Canis lupus familiaris: one gene and its partners. The protein of the gene in region 1 purifies or fractionates together with the protein of each later gene. This does not show direct contact. Links are inferred from orthologs where the notes say so. Each region holds a gene or a part of one and is shown in the gene's direction. Other genes may lie near its edges.

Evidence for each region.
Region 2: the proteins of SOS1 (region 1) and EPS8 purify together in Homo sapiens (affinity purification with western blotting; 5 studies listed by BioGRID and IntAct, with this or other methods). This does not show direct contact. The link is inferred for Canis lupus familiaris from reciprocal best matches to the Homo sapiens genes SOS1 and EPS8.
Region 3: the proteins of SOS1 (region 1) and FRS2 purify together in Homo sapiens (affinity purification with western blotting; 5 studies listed by BioGRID). This does not show direct contact. The link is inferred for Canis lupus familiaris from reciprocal best matches to the Homo sapiens genes SOS1 and FRS2.
Region 4: the proteins of SOS1 (region 1) and CRK purify together in Homo sapiens (affinity purification with mass spectrometry; 6 studies listed by BioGRID and IntAct, with this or other methods). This does not show direct contact. The link is inferred for Canis lupus familiaris from reciprocal best matches to the Homo sapiens genes SOS1 and CRK.
Region 5: the proteins of SOS1 (region 1) and CRKL purify together in Homo sapiens (affinity purification with mass spectrometry; 3 studies listed by BioGRID and IntAct, with this or other methods). This does not show direct contact. The link is inferred for Canis lupus familiaris from reciprocal best matches to the Homo sapiens genes SOS1 and CRKL.

What each region holds. Positions count from the first base shown.
Region 1 is NC_049238.1:31,204,883-31,208,400, reverse strand, and holds part of SOS1 (son of sevenless homolog 1), read left to right. Parts: intron 1-330; coding exon 331-986; intron 987-3,518.
Region 2 is NC_049248.1:15,126,673-15,130,190, reverse strand, and holds part of EPS8 (epidermal growth factor receptor kinase substrate 8), read left to right. Parts: intron 1-2,950; coding exon 2,951-3,081; intron 3,082-3,518. UniProt on the Homo sapiens protein: Signaling adapter that controls various cellular protrusions by regulating actin cytoskeleton dynamics and architecture. Depending on its association with other signal transducers, can regulate different processes.
Region 3 is NC_049231.1:11,910,550-11,914,067, forward strand, and holds part of FRS2 (fibroblast growth factor receptor substrate 2), read left to right. Parts: intron 1-277; coding exon 278-1,228; 3' UTR 1,229-3,518. UniProt on the Homo sapiens protein: Adapter protein that links activated FGR and NGF receptors to downstream signaling pathways.
Region 4 is NC_049230.1:45,559,708-45,563,641, reverse strand, and holds the end of CRK (adapter molecule crk), read left to right. Parts: intron 1-2,794; coding exon 2,795-3,405; 3' UTR 3,406-3,420; downstream 3,421-3,934. UniProt on the Homo sapiens protein: Involved in cell branching and adhesion mediated by BCAR1-CRK-RAPGEF1 signaling and activation of RAP1.
Region 5 is NC_049247.1:30,732,820-30,736,337, reverse strand, and holds part of CRKL (crk-like protein), read left to right. Parts: intron 1-1,391; coding exon 1,392-1,857; intron 1,858-3,518. UniProt on the Homo sapiens protein: May mediate the transduction of intracellular signals.

The sequences.
Region 1 (3,518 bases):
AACGATTTTTTTCACTATATTGGGCTACTTTTTAATATTTGTCATTCTAAATATTTAGAAGTCAAGGTAGAAATAATCATTCCATAGCTAAATTTATAGAGTAGAATTTTGTCATTACTCATTGTTCTTTTTAGAGCACTAAAAAAAGTCTCTACTGTGTTGCTTTAGTTCCTAAAATGGTGCAGTTTTATAACACTAATATATTTGGAAAATTAATGAAAGCCTTCTCCGTGCAACTTTTTAAAATGTACTTTTATATTGTCCTTTATTTTATGAATTCTAGATTGTCTGTCATCTGTGTACTAATGATGTTTTTTTCCTTTATCCCAGTGAATCTGCATGTCGGTTTTATAGTCAGCAAATGAAGGGGAAACAACTAGCAATCAAGAAAATGAACGAGATTCAAAAGAATATTGATGGTTGGGAGGGAAAAGACATTGGACAATGTTGCAATGAATTTATAATGGAAGGAACTCTTACACGTGTAGGAGCCAAACATGAGAGACACATATTTCTCTTTGATGGCTTAATGATTTGCTGTAAATCAAATCATGGGCAGCCAAGACTTCCTGGTGCTAGCAATGCAGAATATCGTCTTAAAGAAAAGTTTTTCATGAGAAAGGTACAAATTAATGACAAAGATGACACCAGTGAGTACAAGCATGCTTTTGAAATAATTTTAAAAGATGAAAATAGTGTTATATTTTCTGCCAAGTCAGCTGAAGAGAAAAACAATTGGATGGCAGCATTGATATCTTTACAGTACCGGAGTACACTGGAAAGGATGCTTGATGTGACGATGCTACAGGAAGAGAAGGAGGAGCAGATGAGGCTCCCTAGTGCCGATGTTTATAGATTTGCAGAGCCTGACTCTGAAGAGAATATAATATTTGAAGAAAACATGCAGCCCAAGGCTGGAATTCCAATTATCAAAGCAGGAACTGTTATTAAACTTATAGAGAGGCTCACGTACCATATGTACGCAGGTAAGAAATATAAAGTTGCCTGTCACTTTTATTTTCCTGCTTCCAACTGATTTTCTTTGCTGCACAGGTCATTGTGCCTAAAATAGAAAGCAAACTAACAACAAAAGATCTCTGCATTATTCCGAGTTCATTTTCCTTTGCCTAAAAATACTGCCATTTGTACCTTTTCTGCCACATTTAAATATTATTTTTAACTTTACAACCAGAATTACAAGTAAGAAAATAAAATCACTTGGCTAAATTTACCCAATTGGTGGCAGAAACAAGATAAATCATCATTAGGGTCTAAAAACCTTTACCTTTTTTTTTCTTTCTTTCTTCTCTTTCCATTACTGAGATCTTAAAGTCAGTAAAAATTTTAGTATACATTCATTACCAGAACTGTGCTGGAATATGCGCATTGCTTTTTCTTAATTTCCATTCCTAAAACTTTCATTAAAGTTTTCAATATTTTTTTTCTGTTTTACAATTGATCACATTTAAGAAAACAGTATTACCTTAGCAGGGCAGTTTTTAAGAGACAAATGCATCCAAACTACCTAGGAAGATTGGTGGAAGCCAAATCAAATGTAATGTTGGGAGAGTTTAGGAACAAACATGATTTTTTTTTTTTAAAGTAATTCTATTTCTTCTAGTAAAGTAACCCATGATAATCCAATGTTCCTCAACCTTCAACTTTCCTACACGATAGAAAGCTTGGTAATTGTACAGTGCTGTAGCCTATGGTATAGTGGAAAGAGCACCAAATCTGGATTTACACCCTCACTCTGTCACAGTTCCCTAAGGTCCCAGACCTCAGTTTTCATCCCAAAAATCAACATCCCAACAGCAACCTTAGAATGTTATTGGAAAGAACAGATCAACGACTATATGCAAAAGCTCTTTGTAAATATAAATGTAAAATTTCAAAGAATGTTTTTATTACAAAGATCTATAAACTCAAACGTATATCTTATAACATAAATGCTCTTCTGAAGTAGTTGAATGTGAATGTTAACCTCCATCCCTATACTTCTTGCTTAAATATATTCTTATTTCTAAGAGATGTGTATTTCTAAGGGAGGTGGGGGTCTTTTGGTTTGTTTTGTTTTTTCATTTTTTAAAGTCCTCTAAATGGGTTCTCAGTTCTCTCTGGAAACTGTTCTGGCACCAGTTAAACTTTTAAAGATTACCCATTAACTGATCCATTGTAATAAAGATGAATAGCATTTGATAATATTAATCTGTTTGATTTATTAAATGTCCAGTCAGAACTACTTAAATGGCCTGGAAACTATCAGGGCCTCTTTGCAAAAAAAGTAAAATCAAGTTAGAATATTTTTATCAAAAAAAAAAAAAAGAATATTTTTATCAGTGATATCAAAACACTTTCGTTAATATCATGTTTCATTATCTCCACATGTCTCTGGGATAAATAAGCCAGTTTTGTTTTGGTTTTAATTTTTATTTGGCCTCCAATTGGTAGTTCTTTTGCTAGCTAGCCTTTTCCATAGTAAAATATTAGTGTTTTCCATAGGTTATTAAAAGCAGTTTGGATTCTCTAAACAGATTCCATTTGGTAGTAGCAGGCAGTAGCTGAAACACGTTGAAGATCATGCAAGAAACCTACTCTGGGATTCCAATTTTACTACTGATTTTTCACCTAGAAACTTCTGCTATCAGTGTTTTCATTTTACTGACTCAAAAATGAAAAAAAGCACAGGAAAGTTAAATAAGCTGCCTAAGATTTTACATAAAAAAGAAACAGATTACTCTAGCATCTTTTTTTATGTTATATAAAACTTTTTGAGAGGTATAATTTTCAGTAATTAATATGACTAACCTATTTTGTGATCTTCATCAGTTTCTGTGTACTCTTTAAGATCAAAATCAACTACAAAAATGTTTCATTAAATTACTCGAAACTTGTGGTTGCAGAATACTTCTTTCTTTGATTTTTAAGAATTTTTAAGGTTGTTACACAAGTTCAAATTGTTCTTCTTGCCACATTATTCTCAGTCTTAGATGATTCACTGATTTCATTAGCATGAACATCCTAAACTGTTTTTTATTTTAAATACCTTTGCTTTGAGTTCTTAGACTGTATTAAATTAATCCTTAGATTTTTATCTACATAAGACAAAAGTTTTACTGTTTTTTTTTTCCTGTAGAGCAATGTTAAGTAGAAAGTGCTAAAGAAGACTTATTATGTCACCATAGTGGCATTTAAATTGGAAAACATTTTCAGATTCCAAATTTTTTAATATAATTGTTTCTGTAAAACTTGATTGTTGATAAAGTTTTTTTTAAAAACTGCATTTCACAGAACTAACTTATTAGTAAACAGTTGCAGAACTACAATTAAATATTTTCTGGAAACTCTGCTTTTTATTTATTTTTTGAATTGAAAACACTTTAAAACAAAACTTGAACAAGCATAGCTGAGAGTTTTTCTGTAGTCTTGATTATTTTTTCTCCTTAATGTACACAATGCTAGCCAAGTCTGTAGACATAGTACTTTTGCTGTAGTGTCTTGTGAGTTATTTTTGATTG
Region 2 (3,518 bases), on another chromosome or scaffold:
AAAAAGAATTGCCTGATCATCTAGTGCCTCTTCTCTCAACTAGGGAAATGATAAACTGAATTAATTAAGCTACTGATTTGTTATTTTTAATTTCAGCCTTATTGAGGTATAGTTGACAAAACCAAGATATTTAAGGTGTTCATCTGGTGAAGGATCCCCCTCCCCTCTAGTTAATTGACACATCTGTCACTTCACATATTTATCTTTTTTTCTTTTGGTGAGGACATTTAAGTTCTATTAGCAAATTTCAGTTAACACAACATAGTGTTATCAGCTACGCTCACCATGTTTTACATTAGATCCTCCACCATATTCATTTATAGCTGAAAGTTTGTACCCTTTTACCAAGTTCTCTCATTTCCCCCAGCCTTTGGCAACCACTTTTCTATAAGTTCAATTTTTTTTTTTTTTTTGGATTTTACCTATAAACAATACCGTGCAGTATTTTTCTTTTCCTGTTTGGCTTATTTCTGCTTTTCAAAGCAGAATGCTTTCAGAGTCCATCTATGTTGTTGTAAATAACAAGATTTGCTTTTCTGTCATAGCTGAATAAAATTTTATTGTGTATATATAACACATCTTTACCCATTTATCTGTTGATGGACACTTCGGTTGTTTCCATATTGTGAAAAATGCTGCAGTGAACATGGAGATGCAGATATCTCTTCAAGATCCTAATTTCAGGGGCAGCCCCAGTGGCTCAGTGGTTTAGCGCCGCCTTCAGCCCAGGGCATGATCCTGGAGACCTGGGATCGAGTCCCACGTCAGGCTCCCTGCATGGAGCCTGCTTCTCCCTCTGCCTGCGTCTCTGCCTCTCTCTCTCTCTGTGTCTCTCATGAATAAATAAATAGAATCTTAAAAAAAAATCCTAATTTCATTTCCTTTAGTATTATACCCAGTAGTGGAGCTGCTGAATAGTATGGTAGTTCTACTTCTAATTTTTAAAAAGATTTTATTTATTTATTGGAGAGAGAAGGGGGTAACAAGCTGTGAGGAGGAGCAGAGGGAGAGGGAGAGAGAGAGCGAGAGAAACAGACTCCTTGCTGAGCAGAGAGCCCTACATGCGGCTTGATCCCAGGACACGGAGATCATAACCTGAGTTGAAGGCAGACGCTTAACTGACTGAACCACCCAGGCACCCTATTTCTAATTTTTTGAGAAACCTCCATACTGTTTTAAGATTTGTTAATTTATTTGAGAGAGAAAGAGCACATATGAGCAGAGAGAGAGCAGATTGGGTTGGCTGTGGAACAGAAGCAGAGAGAGATAGAATCCCAAGCAGACTTCCTGCTAAGCACAGAGCCAGACACTGGCTCAATCTCATGACAGGGAGATCATGACCTGAGCTGAAATCAAGAGTTGGACACTTCACCGACTAAGCCTGCCAAGTGCCCCCCTTCATACTGTTTTCCATAACAGCTGCACCAATTTAAATTCCTACCAACAGTATAGAGGGTTTCCTTTTTTTTTTTTTTTTTTTCCCACATCCTTACTGACCACTTGTTATCTCTTATCTTTTTAATGATAGCCATTCTGACAACTGTAAGGTGAGGTCTCACTGTGATTTTGATTCACATTTCCTTGATGATTAGTGATATTGAGCACCCTTCATGTATGTTTGCCATTTGTATGTCTTCTCTGGAAAGATGTAGCTGTGCCCATTTTTTAACTAAATTGGGATTTTTGTTTGGTTAGTTGTTTGTTTGTTTTTTTTTTTCCTCTTGAGCTATATGAGTTCTTTATATATATTTGGGTTTCTAGTCCTTATCAGTATATGATTTGTAAACATCTTCTCTGATTCTATAGTTGCCTTTTCATTTTGTTGATGATTTAAGCTAAGATATTTAAATGGTGAAAATTGCTTTTTTTAATTTGTGTGTTGCAGTATATTCTAGGGAGATAAATTCTAAAGGAGCAATATAGTGTGGGTATTTTGACATTCACACTAGTCCATCGGAGAAACCCCACCTACTCTGTCTGTGTTTAAACACATCCCTACTCCTGCCAACTCTGTCATTAGGATGAACTATAGTAAACATGTATCTAAGACTTTTCTAAAACATTTCCAGGTTCAAATATTTTGCCCCAATGAGTTCATAAAGTTTAAATAGCCAAGGACCTCCATGCTTCCTGTTCTATTGTGCCTCTGCCATACTTCAGTTCACAAAAGGAGTATAATATCTCAACATGAATATTTTTTAGATCTTTTTTGGTCTTGTTTCTTTGTTTTTTTCCCCATAGCTTTGAAATCATGGTGCTTATTGGGTTGCAGAGACCTCAGTTACCCCTCCTGGTAGCACCCAGTAGGCTCATGTTGAAATTGTGTTAACTGCAACAAGAAATTACTCCAGTATTTTTTATCCTGGAGTATTAACTGTCAAGATCAATGAGTTTTTGTCTTTTGTATTTCCCTCAACAGTAAATTTGATAATAATGGCCAAATTTTTAAATGCCATTTTTTTAAAAATGAAAAAAAATAGGGTCTGTGTACATTTAAAGAATGAGAACATAGTATAATTTTAATGCACAGATTTTAGATGATTTTTATGTGATATATTTAGTATGCTAGAATGGTAGAAGTCTGTTTCTTAAACATAGAGCTCAAAGGCAAAGAGTTCTATTGTTGTTTTCAAACCAGTTTTATTTTATGTAAGCTGTTAAAGTCTACCTAATACCAAAATGAACTATTACTGAAATTCCCGAGGAAAGAATTTATTGCTTGTATACCCATTTATTTTCAAAATTATGATTTAGCTATTGTACTAATGACTTTTCCTATTATAAATAAGTCTTTGACAAAAATTTATCCACCCCCATTTTACAATTTGTTAATAATGGTAAAGCACTTGAAAATGAAACTGATCTCAATATGGTGGAGGGTTTTGTTGCTTGATGTTAGTAGTTATTCAAGTAGTCTTAGAGACTGACTCTTTTAATCTTCTTCTTTCAGCAGTCCAGTGTATCAGAGTATCCTCCAGCTGATGGGTATGCATTCAACAACATGTACACAAGAGGGCCCCAGCTGGACCAAGGGGAAGCCGCTGTGGCTTTTAAGCCAACTCCTAATCGCCACATGGATAGGTAACATTTCATGGGCACCATTTGGAGACCTGTGGATAACTGGCTTTGATTTAGTGCAAATAGAGGTCCTGGCGTCTGGATTGTTCACTACTTCTTTAAACTTTCCATCTGTTAATTGTTTGATAAAGTTTCAGTTGTTCCTTTATAGAATTGGTTTTGATAAACAAAGCCTCTAGTCTATAAATCTTACTGGAAAACCTCCAGCCTATAACTCTAATTTAGTGTAAATGCCTTTGGATGACTTTCCTTTTTTAAAAAGATGCTCTGACAAAATCTGTGAATTAAAAACAAAGAAGAATTGTTTTGAAACTCTCCATTAGTTTATACCAGATGGTCTCTAAGGATCTTTCTAGCTCTGTAACTTTCAAAGGAAACAACTTTCATCTTTCTCTCCCCACAACAAAAACAAACCTTCCTTTAGATAAAACTATTTCTAA
Region 3 (3,518 bases), on another chromosome or scaffold:
TCAATTCATTCCTGATTTTTTTTAACAGAGTGCTTTTCGTGTATCAAGTACAATGTCATGTGTTATTTTAGAGTAGTTATTCTTTTATCAAGTGAAGAAGATCTTTCTACATTCTTCCCCTCTCCCCACCTTTTCCTTAGTGAAAACTGGGTACACAAGCCTCGAAGGGAGAGTATAGTGAGAGAGAAAGTTAATCGATTAAGTTAACTGATATGATCAGCCTTTTTTGGTTTTTGTTTTAGGCAAGTTATTGATTCACTTTCCTGTTTTGTTTTAGGTACATACCTATGTCAACACTACAGGAGTGCAAGAAGAGCGGAAAAACCGCACAAGTGTGCATGTCCCATTGGAGGCGAGGATTTCTAATGCTGAAAGCAACACACCAAAAGAAGAACCAAGTAGTATTGAGGACAGGGACCCTCAGATTCTTCTTGAACCCGAAGGAGTCAAATTTGTCTTAGGACCAACCCCTGTTCAAAAGCAGTTGATGGAAAAAGAGAAACTGGAGCAACTTGGAAGAGACCAAGTCAGTGGAAGCGGTGCCAATAGCACAGAATGGGACACTGGATATGACAGTGATGAGCGAAGAGATGCACCCTCTGTTAACAAACTGGTGTATGAAAATATAAATGGGTTATCTATCCCTAGTGCCTCAGGGGTCAGGAGAGGTCGTCTGACATCCAGCAGTACCTCAGATACCCAGAATATCAACAACTCAGCTCAGAGAAGAACTGCATTATTAAACTATGAAAATTTACCATCTTTGCCTCCTGTCTGGGAAGCCCGCAAGCTTAGTAGGGATGAAGATGACAATTTAGGACCAAAGACCCCATCTCTAAATGGCTACCATAATAATCTAGATCCAATGCATAACTATGTAAATACAGAGAATGTAACAGTGCCGGCAAGTGCTCACAAAATAGAATATTCGAGGCGTCGGGACTGTACACCGACAGTCTTTAACTTTGATATCAGACGCCCAAGTTTAGAACACAGGCAGCTCAATTACATACAGGTTGACTTGGAAGGTGGCAGTGACTCTGACAACCCTCAGACTCCAAAAACACCTACCACTCCCCTTCCACAGACCCCTACCAGGCGCACAGAGCTGTACGCTGTGATAGACATCGAGAGAACTGCTGCTATGTCAAATCTGCAGAAAGCACTGCCGCGAGACGACGGTACGTCTAGGAAGACCAGACATAATAGTACTGACCTGCCCATGTGAGCCCGGAAAGCGGTACATTGTTTGCACCTTTGTGAAGTTTCAAAAAATGAAGATGCAAGTGCTTCATTTTCATTTCTAAACACTAACTCCTTTTATAGACTGATAAGATTTTTTTTCTGACTATTTCATGTGCTTCTTTAACTAAAGGGAATTAACGTTAGAGCAGGTACTCATTAAAGAACACTAATTTCAGTACATACTACTCATTACTGTACAGCAGCATTCCCATTTTCACAGTGCCTATTTAAAATGAGAGTTGAAGTGAGTGACATGCTGGTTGATTGTTATCAATATTCCGGACTTACGCATATCATTCATGTCTAAGTCATGGTTGGCGTTTAAAACATTTTATAAAGCCTCTTGATCATGTGCATTGCTAACAGATAACTCTAGGCTTTGAAAGTAATATTTGTAGACTCACTATTCATGGTATATGGCCTCCAGCATGTAACATGAGGAATCCTTTATTTCATTAATTGTAGGCTTTTTGCCTTGAGCCAAAACATATGTAAAGGAAATAGAAGTACCACACCTCCTTATATACCAGTCAGTTCCTTTGCCTTCTACGTTACTAGAAAGAGTCCTGTGCCCATGAATAGGGTTTGTTCTCGGTGTGTCGAAAGGCAGGAAGGAGTCAAAATTTTCTCTTTACTCATCTCATGATGTCATTTGAAGGGCAGGCCCAGATAATATCTTAATCAGAATTACACTAGACTCCAGAATCAGTCTCAGGTCACTTTACCCAAAAACATTTGGAAATCTGAACCAGGATCTCTTGAAAGTTGCTCTCCCATAGATTATGAACAATAACATTGTTTCCTGGAGGCATCTGGGCCATTAGATTGCCATTTACCTTCAGTTTTTTCCTTTGGTGTTTGGGATGTCTTATTCTGTTGCTTACTGTCTTTTTCAATTTAAAATGTTTGAGTTTGTATATAGTTTTGAAATTGGACTACATGTTCGTTGTTGTTTAGTTTGCATTTCTGTCGAATTGTGGTTTTGAAGGTTCGTTTGGAACTTACTGTTATTCTGTAACAGGGTTGCCCTTGTCCAGTATTTATTTATATGCTGTTTACTTTTCAAGTTGATAAAAACATTCACGCAATTTGAAATTTCACTCGTGTCCATAGGTGATCTCTTTAACAGTTGAGGAAAAAAAAAAAAAAAAAAAAAAGAAGCTACTTTTCACACGCAAAGTTCCCTAAAGGTACTGTGTTTTCTCTGTGGGCACTCTCCCCAGCACTTTAGCAGCGATTCCCTCATCACACGGCTGCAGTTGTTCTTTGCCCGCAGTGGTGTTCCCCCCCTCTGCTGTCCTTTCACTCATAGATGGATCTTTGGTTATCCCTTGATTTCAGTAGAATGTTAGGATCGTGGCCAGCATAGCAGGTACAGTGGAAGTCTTACAGCAATGAGATTGTGTCATAATTTAGGATTTAAAATGAATTGAAGTTTATATAAACTGAAGAGAGACCGTATGTCGTAACTCTCGGAAAGTCAAGAATGTTCCAGTTTCTCAAAACACTAGGGAAGACAAGAGACGGCAGAGCGGAACGGTTAGGTTACTGTTTTCTCTAAATGTTGAGGAAGTTTGAGATCATGATTTGGATCTATCGTCCAGATGTAACTAAGGTCTCAGTCATACAGCACCCAACCTGACCAGTGAATAACCTGATTAATTATGGGACAGTGAGTGGATTAGCAGAAGAGAGTGGGACCATTATAAAGAAAATAAATTATTAAAGCTTGTCGTTATTATTTTCAGTGCCATTGGTTTATGTGCATAGCAGAATTTTCTTTCTTTCTTTCTTTCTTTCTTCTTTTTTATTTTTCTGTGAACCTGGTGCTTACTAAAGTGTTCACTGTGCTCTAAGGAGAGAACATTGGTATTGGTGTGCAGTTTCCATTTTTAATGTATTGTTCCATTTATGCTTTCCTCTGAGTAGATTGCTAATCGTGCCAAATTTATGTGATGGTTTTTGTAACGTGGAATAAGAATTATAATGGAACCAGTACATGTGGTTTTCTCCAAAACAAGCAGTCAAGACAGGACCTCCAGATGAAAGGGCTGACCTACTGATTCATTTTGGAGGTCGGATACTTTATTTTCTTTCTTTTCCTCACCATTTTCATTTTCCTCTGGATTCTAATTAGTTCTTATATATTTTAGGTAGCTCCAATATAATCATTGCAGTTTATGCTTTAAATACTGTGTGCTTTAAAAATGAAAATGGGACCAATTTGTCTGCTAAGAATTTGATTTTAGGTACTATGAGTATTAGGAAGATGT
Region 4 (3,934 bases), on another chromosome or scaffold:
GAGTATAAATTGTACAGACTTTTTGGAGAGCAATTTGGCAATATAAACCTTAATGTTCTTACTCTTTGGGATCCCTGGGTGGCTCAGCAGTTTGGTGCCTGCCTTTGGGGCAGGGCATGATCCTGGAGCCCCGGGATCAAATCCCACATCGGGCTCCCTGCATGGAGCCTGCTTCTCCCTCTGCCTGTGTCTCTGCCCCTCTCTCTCTCTGTCTCATGAATAAATAAATAAAATCCTTTAAAATAAAATGTTCTTACCCTTTGATCCAGCAGTTGCATTTCAAGGAATTTATCCTAATGGAATAAGAAAAAAAGTCTTCACTGGGGCACCTGGGTGGCTCAGTCTGTTGAGCGTCTGAGGTGGGCTTGGTCATGATTCCAGAGTCTCAGGATCAAGTCCCATGTTGGGCTGCCTGCTCAGCAGGGAATCTGCTTCTCATTTCCCTCTGCCCCTCCTCCCTCTCGTGCTCTCACTCTCAAATAAATAATCTTTAAAAAAAAGAAGGAAAGCTTATTAACAAAAATGCTCATAATAGCATTTTCACTAGTGAAAAGTTGGGAACACTTTATAGCTATTAAAAGTCATGTTCTTAAAAAAAAAAAAAAGTTATGTTCTTGGGGCAGCTCAGGTGGCTCAGAGGTTTAGCGTGTGTCTTCAGTCCAGGGCATGATCCTGGGGTCCTGGGATTGAGTCCCATGTCAGGCTCCCTGCATGGAGCCTGTTTCTCCCTCTGCCTGGGTCTCTGCCTCACTCCCTCTGTGTCTCTCATGAATAAATAAAATCTTGAAAAGTTGTTCTTAAAAAGGAGAAATTTATAAATTTCATAATAAAAAGGCAAGTTATAAAGCTTTGTAGTAACTGTAAAACACTTGTGTATGTATACTTATGACCTTGTATATATACATACATATATATACATAAACATTAAAATTTGGGAGGTTCTATCTCAATTTTTTTTTTTTAATATCTCAATTTTGAATGTGGATTAAGGCTTAACCTGGGGGTTAAGTCTGATTAAAAAAAAATCAGGGTGCCTTGGTGGCTCAAGCATTAAGCATCTGCCTTAGTCTCAGATCATGATCCCAAGGTCCTGGGATGGAGCCCTGCATTGGGGTCCTTCCTTAGTGAGGAGACTGCTTCTCCTTTTCCCTCTACCCTTCCCCTTGCTTGTGCTCCTTCTCTCTCAAATAAACCTTTAAAACAAAACAAGGAAGGGGCTTCTGGGTGGCTCAGTGGTTGAGTGTCTGCCTTTGACTCAGGTCGTGATCCCTGAGTCCTGGGATTGAGTCCCATGGGGAGCCTGCTTCTCCCTCTGCCTGTGTCTGCCTCTCTCTCAGTGTCTCTCATGAATAAATAAAATCTTAAAAAAAAAAAAAAGAGCTCCACAAAAACCAGTTTAAGATTTTGTTTTAAGGGGACGCCTGGGTGGCTCAGCAGTTGAGTGCCTGCCTTCAGCCCAAGGCCTGATCTTGGACTCCCAGGATTGAGTCCCACCTCAGGCTTCCTGCATGGAGCCTGCTTCTGTCTCTCCCTATGTCTCTGCTTCTCTCTCTGTGTGTGTGTGTCTCTCATGAATAAATAAATGGATCTTAAAAAAAAAAAAAAAAAGATTTTGTTTTAAGTAATTTCTACCTCCAACATGGGGTTGGAACTCACATGCCAGAGACCAAGAGTTGCATGCTCTGGGATGCCTGAGTGGCTCAGTTGGTTAAGTGTCTGCCTTCCACTCAGGTCATGATCCCAGGGTCCTGGGATTGAGCCCCACATCAGGCTTCCTGCTCAGTGGGGAACTTGTTTCTCCCTCTCCCTCTCCCTCTGCCCCTCCCCCTGCTTGTGCTCTCTGACTCTCAAATAAATAAAATCTTTTTTTTTTTTTTTTTTTTTTTTTTTTTAAAGTTGCATGCTCTGCCGACTGAGCCAACCAGGGAACCCTGGAGTTTGAGAAATTTAACACTTATTTTTTTTTCAAGTATCCTTATTTACCTTTTTTCATGATCTGTTTGCTTCAAAGGGAACAGTATGGTTTACATGTTTTATTTCAGTGAAGACCTGTAGGAATTGATTGTTAAGCAGTTAACTTCTTGATTTCTCTTTTTAGGCTCCTTGGTTCTTTTGCCTAATTAAGATTGTTTGTTTGTTTTGGTAACTGTCAGAAATGAATTTGAGATCAGCAATCATAGATTTAAAAAGATAGTCTTGGGATGCCTGGCTGGCTTAGTCAATAAAGCATGCGACTTGATCTCAGGATTGTGAGTTCAAGCCCCACACTGGGCATGTAGAACTCACTTAAAAATAAACACTTTTTTCTTCTTAGGAATTGTCTAGAAGATGTGAAGAGAAGGAATGTATGAGCCTGGTGTAGATAGATAGCAAGTTTTCCCCACCTCTTCTTGGAAAAGCTGCTGGGACTTATGAAAAAGTAGAGCTTGCTACATTTCCTGAGGTTAAAAGAAGATTGCAAGGAAACCTTAAAGCTTATGCTACTCTGTAAATGAATAGCACAATAAAAAGTCTCCATGTTGCTTTGTCTTTGATCCAGTATGGAAACATGCCCTGACTGGCCTGATCTGTTATGGCCTTCTGTTCTGTCTCTACTGCAGGTGGTGATGGGCATCTTTCTCTAGGGTATGTTTTAACTACAGAGTATGATTTCTGTTTAGGACAGGGGTTATCTTTTCTAGACTTTTTTTTTTTTTCTGATTATTGACCAAATGTGTTTGGGAAATGCTTAAAAACTTCATTTCATCTCCTGTGTACTACATCTTAAATAATAGCCTGCTCTGTTTTTTTCCAGGGGTGAGCCCCTCCAGACTCCGAATAGGAGATCAAGAGTTTGATTCATTGCCTGCTTTACTGGAATTCTACAAAATACATTATTTGGACACTACAACATTGATAGAACCAGTTTCCAGATCCAGGCAGGGTAGTGGAGTGATTCTCAGGCAGGAGGAGGCAGAGTATGTGCGAGCCCTCTTTGACTTTAATGGGAATGATGAAGAAGATCTTCCCTTTAAGAAAGGAGACATCCTGAGAATCCGAGATAAGCCTGAAGAGCAGTGGTGGAATGCAGAGGACAGCGAAGGCAAGAGGGGGATGATTCCAGTCCCTTACGTCGAGAAGTATAGACCTGCCTCCGCCTCAGTATCGGCTCTGATTGGAGGTAACCAGGAGGGTTCCCACCCACAGCCACTGGGTGGGCCGGAGCCTGGGCCCTATGCCCAACCCAGCGTCAACACTCCGCTCCCTAACCTCCAGAATGGGCCCATTTATGCCAGGGTAATCCAGAAGCGAGTCCCTAATGCCTACGACAAGACAGCCTTGGCTTTGGAGGTACATAATGTGCAAAATGTAGAAAGAAGAGATCTGCTGCAGGGTCTCCCTTTCAGACCTCTTAGAGCTTTTTAGGAATGCTGAATAGAAGCACCAGCATTGTGATGTTGTAGATGTCAAACCATTAAGTACTCATTTTGGCATTTAATGTTAGGTTTTCTCTTTTTTGTAGAAAACCTATTTTGGAATAAGTAAGCTTAAAATTGTATAACTCCATGTTCTGATTGATCTACTAAACATACTTTGACTTCTTCAGTAACACCACCTGAATTAATAGGAATTAACCTAAAATATTTTTTTCTCATCTACATTCTAATCTGATTCATTCTTTCTGTTTATAATTGTCTAAAATAAGGTGGGCTCTGTCAAACCACTTAAATGGACTTTTCCCATTTTACTTTAGGGGAAATGGGGTTTCTTACCATTGACTGATTGTGTTTGTAAAGTAAAAATTTAGGAGGAACGGTAAAGCATAGTACAGGTAAGAAGAGATACATACTGAAAACTGTATACTACCAGGAGTAGCAAGTTTACTTTTTTTTTTTTTTTTTTTTAAGTTTACTTGTTTTTTATTGTTCAGTGCATTTTACAGACAGGAAGCCAG
Region 5 (3,518 bases), on another chromosome or scaffold:
AAACGATTATTTTTTGAGAGAGAGAGAGAGGCAGAGACATAGGCAGAGGGAGAAGCAGGCTCCATGCACCGGGAGCCCGACGTGGGATTCGATCCTGGGTCTCCAGGATCGCGCCCTGGGCCAAAGGCAGGCGCTAAACCGCTGCGCCACCCAGGGATCCCTCAAAAAATAATCTTTAAAAAAAAAAAAAGATAAATCGGAAACCATAGTCGGTGGTTAAACAGGCATTTCCTATCCTAGCTTACTCTCAAGGCTACTCTAGATTTAGGCCCTGTTGGTGGTACTGCAAGCTGAGTCACTTCAGAGGTGCAGGCTCTTTGGGTGAAGCCCAGAGTTTGTTACTCTGGTGTAGATTCTGTACTTTAGAAAAGTTAAGGTGTGGGAGGGAGCTAATGATAAGACAGTTTATTTTCCCCAAAGCTGGTACATTTGCAACTTCTTAAAACATTTCTTAGGTGAAGAGAGACCTCTATAGTTCTTTTCCAAAAGAGGCATTACAGATGGGGTATTAGAGGAGAGCAGAGACTGCACTCCTAGAACTATCTCTGGGAGGGCATTCTGCAGCTTTGTTGGCCAATACATGTTGATCTCTTGAGCACAGCAGAGGCGTGTGGTGGTGTCTGTGGACTGATGCTTTCTTGCCTGTGAATTCTGCAGTGAAAAGGTCCCTATGTTTTCATTTTGGTGCTCAGATGATGATTCCTGCATAAAATGTAATGTGGGTTTCATTATCTTTTTTAATTGGCTTATGTATAAACCCTTTTCTGGTTTTTGTATTTTGAGGGACACAGAAACCTTTGTCATTTTCTCTCTGGGTACCCAGGGAAATGTGCAGGATGCTTACTATAGATTAGGACCAGGAGGAAGAATGTGTGGTGGTTGTTCCAGAGTCCTAAGGAAGGACTGAACTTAAGATTTTAAAAATAAATCTGGGGGCACCTGGGTGGTTCAGTGGTTGAGCATCTGCCTTTGGCTCAGGGCATGATCCCAGGGTCCTGGGATCGAGTCTTACATCTGGCTCCCTACAAGGAGCCTGCTTTTCCCTCAATCTATGTCTCTGCCTCTCTTTGTGTGTTTCTCATGAATAAATAAATAAAATCTTAAAATAAATAAACTCAGACCAGCTGTATCTCTGTAAACAAAAGGTTCCTGTGAAACAGATTGTGTGTGTGTGTGTGTATGTACTTGTGATTTAACAAGGTCTATTCAGGATATTAAATTCTGTTGCAGTACAGACTGCAGAACATAAAACAATATGACAGAACTTTCTTACTACTGAGAATTTAGCAAGGGAAATAATTCATCATAGAGGAAAATGGTTTATTTAAATATTTGACAAACACTGGTATCAAGATTTTTTCTCTTAGAGTTAATTTTCTTTCTCTCTGAAGGTACCCAAGCCCACCAATGGGATCTGTATCAGCACCCAACCTGCCTACAGCAGAAGAAAATCTGGAATATGTACGGACTCTCTATGATTTTCTTGGGAATGATGCTGAAGACCTGCCCTTTAAAAAGGGTGAGATCCTGGTGATAATAGAGAAGCCTGAAGAACAGTGGTGGAGTGCCCGGAACAAGGAGGGCCGGATTGGGATGATTCCTGTTCCTTATGTTGAAAAGCTTGTGAGATCCTCACCACATGGAAAGCACGGGAATAGGAATTCCAACAGTTACGGAATCCCAGAACCTGCTCATGCATATGCTCAACCTCAGACCACAACTCCTCTACCTGCAGTTTCCAGTACTCCTGGGGCAGCGATCAACCCTTTGCCATCCACACAGAATGGACCTGTCTTTGCAAAAGCCATCCAGAAAAGAGTACCCTGTGCTTATGACAAGACCGCCTTGGCATTAGAGGTAAAATTTACAAGGCTGGTTTTTTGGGTCTTTTGACATTTGGTTTTAATTTTGTTTCTACAAAGTAACTGCTCATTTCAAGTTCTATTCAGGGGAATAAGAGAACCGGGTAATTTTGGAAGATCCACTGTGAGTGTCCCACACAACTCTTGTCCTTCCTATATTCTTTGTTTCTCCCAGGGTATAATCTCTCTTAGGTTTACTCTCACAGTAGTTTTGTTTTGTTTTTTAAAGATTTTATTCATCTATTCATGAGAGACAAACACAGAGAGAGAGAGAGGCAGAGACACAGGCAGAGGGAGAAGCAGGCTCCATGCAAAGAGCCCGACGTGGGACTCGATCCCGAGACTCTAGGATCATGCCCTGGGCCAAAGGCAGGCACCAAACTCCTGAGCCACCCAGGGATCCCCCTGTAGTTGGTTTTCTTTCCAATAAGGAAAGATGATGATGGTTAATAAAGATCCATTACCTAAAGATGAAATGAGCATACAGGTAGACACATAGCCATTTGTACAGTTCCATATTTCTAACATCGCGATCAGTTGAGGAGACATCAATAAATGTCTTAGGATTCCTCTTCAGCTAGGCAGAGTTTAAAATATCTCAGACCTTACTAGATTTTTTAATTTTTTAATTTTTTAAAGATTTTATTTATTTATTCATGAGAGACAGAGAAAGGCAGAGACACAGGCAGAGACACAGGCAGAGGGAAAAGCAGGCTCCATGCAGGGAGCCCGACATGGGACTTGATCCCAGGTCTCCAGGATCACGCCCTGGGCCGAAGGCAGCGCTAAACCACTGAGCCACCCGGGCTGCCCTAGATCTATTTTTTGATAGAGACTTTGTAAATTACATAATAGCATGAAATAGAACTTGAGCATTTTAATTGCCAAGTCATGTTCTTTAAATCAAACATTAACTGTCTTTAAAAAAAAAAAAAAAAAAAAAAACTTTTGCAAAGCTTAGCAAGAGTGGTGTTCTGAACCAAAAAGTCCTGAAGGTCAGTGTTGATTGATAAGCCTGTTGAGGGCATATCACAGAACGTAGAAGTTTGATGAGACATCTGGTAAACCTGGAGTGACCATAAATGAGCACAAACCCCAGAAGAACAACAGAAGGACTACTTAAGGGGGAAAAAAGGATTTTTTAAAAATTCATGTTTTTAGAACAGTCCTGTATATTTTTCATGTTTTTTTTTAATGAGGTATAAAATACATAAATTGAGATGGGCCCTAAATATTAACGTGTCAGAACATGGAATACAGTGCCGCAAATCCTAGTTTGTTAATAAGATGTGAAAATGCTTTGTGAGCCACAAGCTACAAGGTAAATATCATTGTAATGTGATTACAGCTGAATACTCTGTTGATATTATTAAATTGCATATATGTTGGAGAAACTGAGGTTACGCTAGTGATCGTTCTCTGTTCTCTGTGTTCACCCCAAGGTCAGAGTAGGGCAGGGCTGCAAGACCGAAGGATGAAGCAATGGAGCCTGAGTCTGATTGAGTCTGATTACTTCTCCCTCTCATGTTGGCTATAAAGGAGTGAGCATCTGAGGCTTGTGACAGGGACCAGGTCTAGGGAGGACCCACATGCTTTTAATGCTTACCAGTGGAGGAATAGGAAAGAAACCAGACTGAATCCTGGCTGAGTAGGCCT